Linked DNA regions of Rattus norvegicus. The protein of the gene in region 1 purifies or fractionates together with the protein of each later gene. This does not show direct contact. Links are inferred from orthologs where the notes say so. Each region holds a gene or a part of one and is shown on either strand. Other genes may lie near its edges.

Region 1 (3,811 bases):
AGGAACCCAGGGTCTGATACATATTGAACAAGTGCTCTCTGAGTCACATCTCAGTCCACAGCTACGTTAAAAAGCAGACATCGGGGGTTGGGGATTTAGCTCAGTGGTAGAGCGCTTGCCTACAAGCGCAAGGCCCTGGGTTCGGTCCCCAGCTCCGAAAAAAAGAAAAGAAAAGAAAAGAAAAGAAAGGGAAAAAAAAAAAAGCAGACATCTGCCATTATATGCATGACTGCACCTGTTCTAAGAGTTGTCACATAAACCCATGAAGTTCACTGGTCATTCTGTACTTGTTGCTAGCCAGAAAAGCTGTTGGCAGGACAGTGGGAAGATGGCCTTTCTGCTTAAACTTTTCCAGGTGGTAGATAGGGTCTTAGACCTCTGGGTGTACCTGTGCCCCAAGGCTCACGCCAAGGACTACTTGGAGAACACCATACTGGACTTTGACATCTTAGGCCAAGCAAAGGACATAGGAGTGAGAAAGTACCTTCAGCAGAGTAGCTTTAAGAACATCCTCAATGGGCAGTTGCTGGGCTGCCAGACTGGTTTGCAGCAAACTGAACGCCCTTAGCCTGGATCCCTTAGATCCAGCAGAGCTTTTCCCCTTACCTGCAAGAGAAGACGCTTCTTGCTCCTTAAGGGAAGGTGCTGAGTGCTCTGGCGGAAACCAGCTCTGCTCTTTGTGAAGTGGTAGCACAGGCGGTCAGCAGACACAGGCTCTGCAGCACACTCACCCATTCCAATGATGCTCTCTCTCCTCCGAACCTACACCCCTGACTCCTGCCCTGTATCTGACCAGTCTACGTCAACACACAAGTGCAGGACCAGTCCCTAGTAGTCCAAGAGGAAGTTCTAGTAGCTCACATGCCACAGGCCTGCAGCCATGGCTCTGAGAACGCTCACCAGAGACAGAGTCCCTGCTAAGCAGAGACTTGATAGGCTTCATAACCCCATCCCACTGCCCCTGGATCGAGGAGTCACTGCAGGACAGGGTGGCGGCGACAGCAGGATGGTGCTAAGCATACTCGTTGCAGTGGTGTGGAGTGGCGGCTGGGGCACGCCGGTCTGCAGCAATGCTCTCCCATTTCCGTTTTACCATGATGTAAAGCCTCATTGCTGCTTGGGCATCTTGGACCTGGGGGACAGAAGCATTGTTGACCACCCAGCTAGCGAGAACACATGACTACAGGCCACAGAAGTAACCCTACAACTATTGAGTCTTCATGCTAGCCACGGCACTGAGGCTGCAAAGCCAAGAGAGACACGAACCTCCCTGTATGACTATGGTAGGGCAGTGAAGGAGAAAACCATACAAAAGAAATGGTTGTAGCAGAACCTGAAGCTAACTCTTGTGCTTCAGACTCAGCCACTGTTTATAGGGGCAGAAAGAGAAACTCCATAGCAGGAGGAACCTGGAGCTTCACAGCAGACACAGCTGAGACATGCACAAGGGCTCAGAGTCAGAGGCTACCACAGGGGAACCTGCTCTCCTGAAGCAGACTGCCTGGCCAGAAGACCCTCAAGTCACAAAGTCCTAAAGCACCTGTGCTAGGGTTTGGAAAGGTCCCCCCTGCCCCCCAGGTTATCAGTGTGGCAATGTAGGGTAGTGGGACCTTTCAGAGCTGGGGTCTAGTGGGAGGTCAGATGGCACTAGAAACACAAGGTAATCCCCGGGGCGCCAATCAGTTCTGCCAAGAGTGACCTGTTTCTCCTTCCTCCTTGGCATTTCTCCAATCAGCTAAGCCTCATTACCATGACATCCCCAACCTCAGGTCAGTAACGGGAAGTATAAAGTCTTCAACTGCTCCAAATCTTTACAGTATTTGACTCTTTGCATTGAGTTCAAGTTAAATGCAAATATTTAAGATACAACAACATTCTGTAAGCCTGCTCTGCCTGGGGTCCTTTCCTGTTTCTATGGTCAAGTGAGACATCCCTAGGTGTTAGCGTCAGATGTCATCGCCCATCGATACTTACTGAACAATGCTCTGCCTGTTGGACCCTGAGCCCCAGAATTTTCTCAGAAAGTTGTTTCAGAGACGGCCGTGCACTCTGTAGAGGAAAGAACACCACAATGTGCTGCTTCCATAGGCTTTGCCAAGGAGGACACAATGGCTCCTAAGCACACCCAAGTGACCTACAGTCTTCCTTTCACCAGGAGTAATTGTGGCACTTACCGCCGTGACCACCAACCTGCTATGGCTTACAACATTGCTCAGCAGCCAGTAGAGGAGCTGGGGGTCAGCAATATTCCAAGTGGTAGAGGAGTGCTTTAATTATTGTGGTTTTGGGGTTTTTTTTGTTTTTTTTTTTTTTTTAAAGATAGGGTTTCTTGTAGCCCTGGCTGTCTTGGGACTTGCTCTGTAGACCAGGCTGGCTTCAAACTCATCCGCCTGCCTTCGCTTCCTTAGTGCTAGAATTAAAGGTGTGTGCCACTACACCTGACTTAATTTTTTTTCTAGTTCTTATTTGTTATACAGAGGTATGTATAGCTGCACGTTGGCATATGCACATGATTGCAGGGCCTGAGAAAGCTAGAGATGCCAGGGTTCCTGGAACTGGAGTTGCAGGGATTGTGAGTAACCTGACACAAGTGCTGAGAATTGAACTCAGGTCCTCTGCAAGAGTAGCACTGAACCATGTCTGAGGACAACCTCTTCTGCCTTCACAGCTGTTCCAGGGATGAAAACCAGGTTGCCAGACTTCTGTGACAAGCGCTCTTATTAAAGATTAAAATGAGAAAAATAAACTGAATCCCTTTAGCCAGGCGGTCAGTGCCAGGAACTAGTCATGGCCCACGACTCATTCATTACATACCTTTACTAGACTCCTGAACGGTTTGAATTTTTGGGTGTCCCTGATTTTCTTTTTCGGATGTTCAAGGAACAGAACCTAGAAGAAAATGACAACTATCTCCATTTCAGTCTGCAACAATGCCCCCCTTTCCAGATACCACCTCACAGGGCACCACAGGGTATTAACGCTCAGAAAAAAGCAGTTTCCCAAATTAATTAACTGACCTAAGGTGATGCCCACTACGCAGAACCATGTTAACAAGAATAAAATCCTGGCCGGGTGTGTGGCGCACACTTTGAATCCTAGTGCTGTGGAGGCGGAGGCAGGTGACAAGCTAAGACCACACAGTGAGACCCTGTCTCAAAAACAAAAGTAAAATCTGGACACCAATGATGTTGAGAAAAAGTCAGCCGGCCACCGACTTCTCTGAGCTGATTGTTCCTGGGGAAATAAGTCATGAAAATCAACAGCTCGTCCTGCAGTGTAACAGCTTCTAGACTCATACAGTCCAAAGAAGTGACCACTAGAGGAGGCAGGTGTGGCCCTGGTGGCAGTCTTCTCTAAGGTGACTCATTATATCAGTGAGCAGGTGGCTTTGGTTAATTTTTAATTGTTGACCATTTGTTATTTCCTTTCTTGGTACAGGGATGAAACCCAGGGCCTGATACACATGAAGCACACATCCTGCCACTGAGCTAACACACAGCTCTAGCCCTGAATATTTGAATGGGAATTAAACTCCCATCTAGAGGTTCCTCAAACACATGAATCCAGTGACACTACAGTCACATCGAGGAAGGGCAATGTCCACTGTCTAATCGCAGACATCTAAAAGGGCAGAAGCTAGATGTCACATGACCTAGCACTGGGCAGTCATGTGAGCTCAATCACCTACTGGCTGGTTGTGTGGCCAGCCTGTAAAGGTTGGACCGGCTGGAATGGCACCCCGAGGAGACACATGCCTATCCAGTTCCTTTCCTATAAACACAGCGGAAGCAGCAGCAACATGCAACTCAGA
Region 2 (3,681 bases), on another chromosome or scaffold:
GTAAAGATGGCCAAGGCCTGTGAACCTAATTAGAACTTTTACCCAAAGTCATTAACAATCGGTATTTCCATTAGTTGCTATGAAACAAGTTGAGCTTTTCTTGCATTTTCCTAAAAGTAACTCCGCCCTGACAGACCAACTTGGTTAACAGAAAACACCCCTCCCTCACTCAATTCTAGATTTCCAATTCATAATTTACAAAAATAATGCAAGTATTCAAGTATTAATACTTATGCAAAGATAAGTTTATTAAGATTAAAAAAATAACATCCAGGACAGAAATAACCATGGAATCTGCTGGGTGTAGCCTCTCCTTTATAATCTCAGCACTTGGCCTGAGTGAGTTCCAGGCAGCCTTGGCTCCATAGAGAATTCCAGCCTAGCATTTGCTAAAAACTAAAACCCAAGCCAATTAAACAAAAGCCATCAGCTACAAACAAAATGACAACCATTTTCTGGAGTAACAAGGTTAATTACCATCATTTAGTGTGGTTCCAAATTATTGGCCAAATGCACCACCTGAACCAACATCAAGAAGCACCATACTTTAATTATAGTTAGTGCCAAAAGAATGTTTGAGTTTTCCTAATACCAGGGGTCATTTATAACCATTTTAACTTTTTTTTTTTTTTTTTTGCAAGCACACACGTATTGGTACCCATGTCACTGGCTTCACATATAACTTCTACCGGCAAACTTGTAAATTTCCCCCTTCTTCCTGCTTTGATAAATATACAAGCTTTATTACCAAAATAATGCAAAAATGCTGAAACCAGTCTACTATAACCTAGAAATTTGATCAACCTTTACCCAGCATCCAAAGTCAAGATAAAAAGGCAGGCATTAACTTATTCCTGGTTCTGACCACAGTATTTCTGTAATTCTCATAATCTCAAAACACACCAACCAGTCAGTGTCTCCATTAATTCGTAGTCCAGCACTGACTCGAGGGGAGGCAAACCTGCCCGTTCAATGTCAAGCTCATTGAGGACAGCGGCCACCTCCTGAACCAGCCTACAGCAAGTACGGTTCTAGCTTTTCAGAAGAGGTCCAGAGGGGAGAGCACTACTTTCTCCTCTTCCCTCCATGGTGCGGCACTCCTTTCTTCTTGCCACCTAAGGCAGGTGGCCTGGAATGCTTCTTGCCTCCCAAGACTCCTTTCCTTTTCTCTCCCTGACTCGGTGGACCGCCCTTTCTCCTGCCCGAAGGTCCTTGCCGGCCCCCTTTTTTCTTGCCTTTCTGGCTCATTTTCCTCCTCTTGGCAGCCTCCTCTTGGTCCTCTTCCCTCATCTGCTTGTTGGTGGCCCTCGTCACGTCCAGCTGAGGTTTCTTGCTGTTCATGACTCGAAGTAGCTCCAGTTGGTTTTTTTTCTCGGCTGCAAAGTCCCCAAAGAGGGGCTGAAACTTCCTCTTCTTGCCGGAGCCCCGGGGCGCTTTCTCCTTGGGGAGGCGCTCCTGGAAGCGTCCCACAGAAGCGGTGGAGACCTTGGCCACTTGCATGGCGCGGCCCAGCTCCTCCTTACTCTGGTGTCCCGTAGGGTGCAGGCCGGCTGAGCTGGGCATCTGCATCTTGTGCGCGCGGGCCAGGTTCCGCAGTCGGTTCAGCTCGTTCTTGGCCACGCGTTCTTTCTTAGCCCGAATCCTCTTGGCGAACTGGTCTTCCATGGGGTCTGCGCTCCCAGGCACCTCGATCAGCCACTCCTTAGTGTCATCTCGGGCACGTTTGTAGCCCCAACGGCGTCGCCACTGGCCACTCACCTCGTCCCACACGAGGTTGGTCTTCTTCTTGGGACGGATGCCCTTAAGGCGCGCGAACTGCTGCCAGCGGGTGAGCGGTCGTGGCCGGGGCAGCGGCTTCTCGCGGGGCAGGCGTGTGGCGGGCTCAGGCAAGCGCGCTACCACCGCCTCCTCCACGCGCTCGGTTGGCAGCTGCCATAGTTGGTTGACAAGAAGCTGCGTGTTGTCCCGCGCCAGGGCCCGCAGCTCGGCCTCCGGCGAGGGTCCGGCCTGGCGCAGCACCGTCGGGGGGTTGCGGTCCGAAGCCAGCAGGTTGCCCAGGTCGAACTCCAGCTCCAGCTCCTTGTGCACCGTGATGCGCTGCAGCTTCTCCGCCTCCTCCTGCTTCGCTTTGGCCAGCAGCTCCTCCACACTCTGCCCCTCCATGGCTCTCGCCGGCTCCGTTCCCTCACTTTGGGGCTGCAGCGGAATGCTTTGCTACTATGGCAGAGCCCAAAAACCAGCCACCACGTGCGGACGTCCGGACTCGTAATCCGGAAGAGAAAAGCTCACTTCCGGGAACCTGCTCTCAACTGGGCGGTGAGGGAAGGACCGGCAGAGGGCGGCATTGGAGAGCAGATGGGCTTAGAGGCGGGACTTGGACTCGTAACCGGATGTTGGCTAGACTGGCGCTGAAGGTTGGCTGAATGAAGACTAACAAGCGCAAGGCCTGGTTGGGACTACGTTTCCCAGCATGCCGCGGGGTAGGGGCGGTCGCTGTAGGAAGCGGGCTGCTCAAACTCTTGGAACTGCAGGCGGGCGTTGTAGTTTCCAGATGGAGTTTACACAACAGTACTTGAGGGTAAATCTATTACAGAAGTGTATGGACGACACAAATTATTTCCCCAGAGTTATATAGTCCGTTTTCTGTACTCTAGGTGTGAGCGGAGAGAGATCCCACACAGATCCACAGGAATAGAAAATTGGGCAGGGCGCAGGGCGCAGGGCACAGGGCACAGGGCAGGGGGCAAGGCAGGGGGCAGGGGCAGGGCAGGGAGCAGGGAAGGGGGCAGGACAGGGCAGAGGGCAGGGCAGGGTAGGGGGCAGGGCGCAGGGGGCAGGGCAGGTGGCAGGGGGCAGGGCACTGCAGCCCCAGCCCTCGGCCAGCCCTCGGCCAGCCCTCGGCCAGCCCTCGGCCAGCCCTCGGCCAGCCCTCGGCCAGCCCTCGGCCAGCCCTCGGCCAGCCCTCGCCCAGCCCTCGCCCAGCCCTCGCCCAGCCCTCGCCCAGCCCTCGCCCAGCCCTCGCCCAGCCCTCGCCCAGCCCTCGCCCAGCCCACTACACATGGTTACTTTGATCAGTGCAACCAGTACTTAAAGGGATTTCATCAGTCTTTAAAAATCACATTAACTTAGATTTACTTTTTAAAACATGAAACTAAATAACTTATTTGTCGTGCTGTCACACATATATGGCGGTCAGAGGAGAAATTTCTTAAAGTTCTGCGAATTGAACTGAGGTTGTCAGGATTGGGAGCAAATGCTGAGCAAATGTCAGGATTGGGAGCAAATGGGAGCAAGCAAGTGAGCCTCCTTCTTGGCCCTTGCTTTCTCAATGGTGCTCAATTTCATCTCCTTCTGGGAATTATGGTAGGAATTATTAAGGATGATTCAGCCACATTTTAGATCTGCAGTTAACATTTTATTTTCACTCTCAATATTTTTGTTCAAGAAATCCAGAACACCAGTTAATTTGATAAAATATTAGCTAGGGGCACTTAAACCACTTAACTCACCTTCACATGGTTCAATTTTACTGATTCGTGATTTTCTGTTGAAAGTATTTCAATGAGGAGTTTTTAACACATTTCACACAAATGCATAAGGGGTGTGTGTGTGTGTGTGTGTGTGTGTGTAAGCCACAGGACAGTGGTTCTCAACCTTCCTGATGACCTTTGAATACATTTT

What was found.
Region 2: the proteins of Rexo4 (region 1) and Rrs1 purify together in Homo sapiens (co-immunoprecipitation; 3 studies listed by BioGRID and IntAct, with this or other methods). This does not show direct contact. The link is inferred for Rattus norvegicus from reciprocal best matches to the Homo sapiens genes REXO4 and RRS1.

What each region holds. Positions count from the first base shown.
Region 1 is NC_086021.1:30,678,770-30,682,580, forward strand, and holds part of Rexo4 (RNA exonuclease 4), read right to left. Parts: intron 2,890-3,811; coding exon 2,815-2,889; intron 2,050-2,814; coding exon 1,975-2,049; intron 1,133-1,974; coding exon 1,013-1,132; 3' UTR 1-1,012.
Region 2 is NC_086023.1:14,515,685-14,519,365, forward strand, and holds Rrs1 (ribosome biogenesis regulatory protein homolog), read right to left. Parts: upstream 2,253-3,681; 5' UTR 2,164-2,252; coding exon 1,066-2,163; 3' UTR 619-1,065; downstream 1-618. UniProt on the Homo sapiens protein: Involved in ribosomal large subunit assembly. May regulate the localization of the 5S RNP/5S ribonucleoprotein particle to the nucleolus.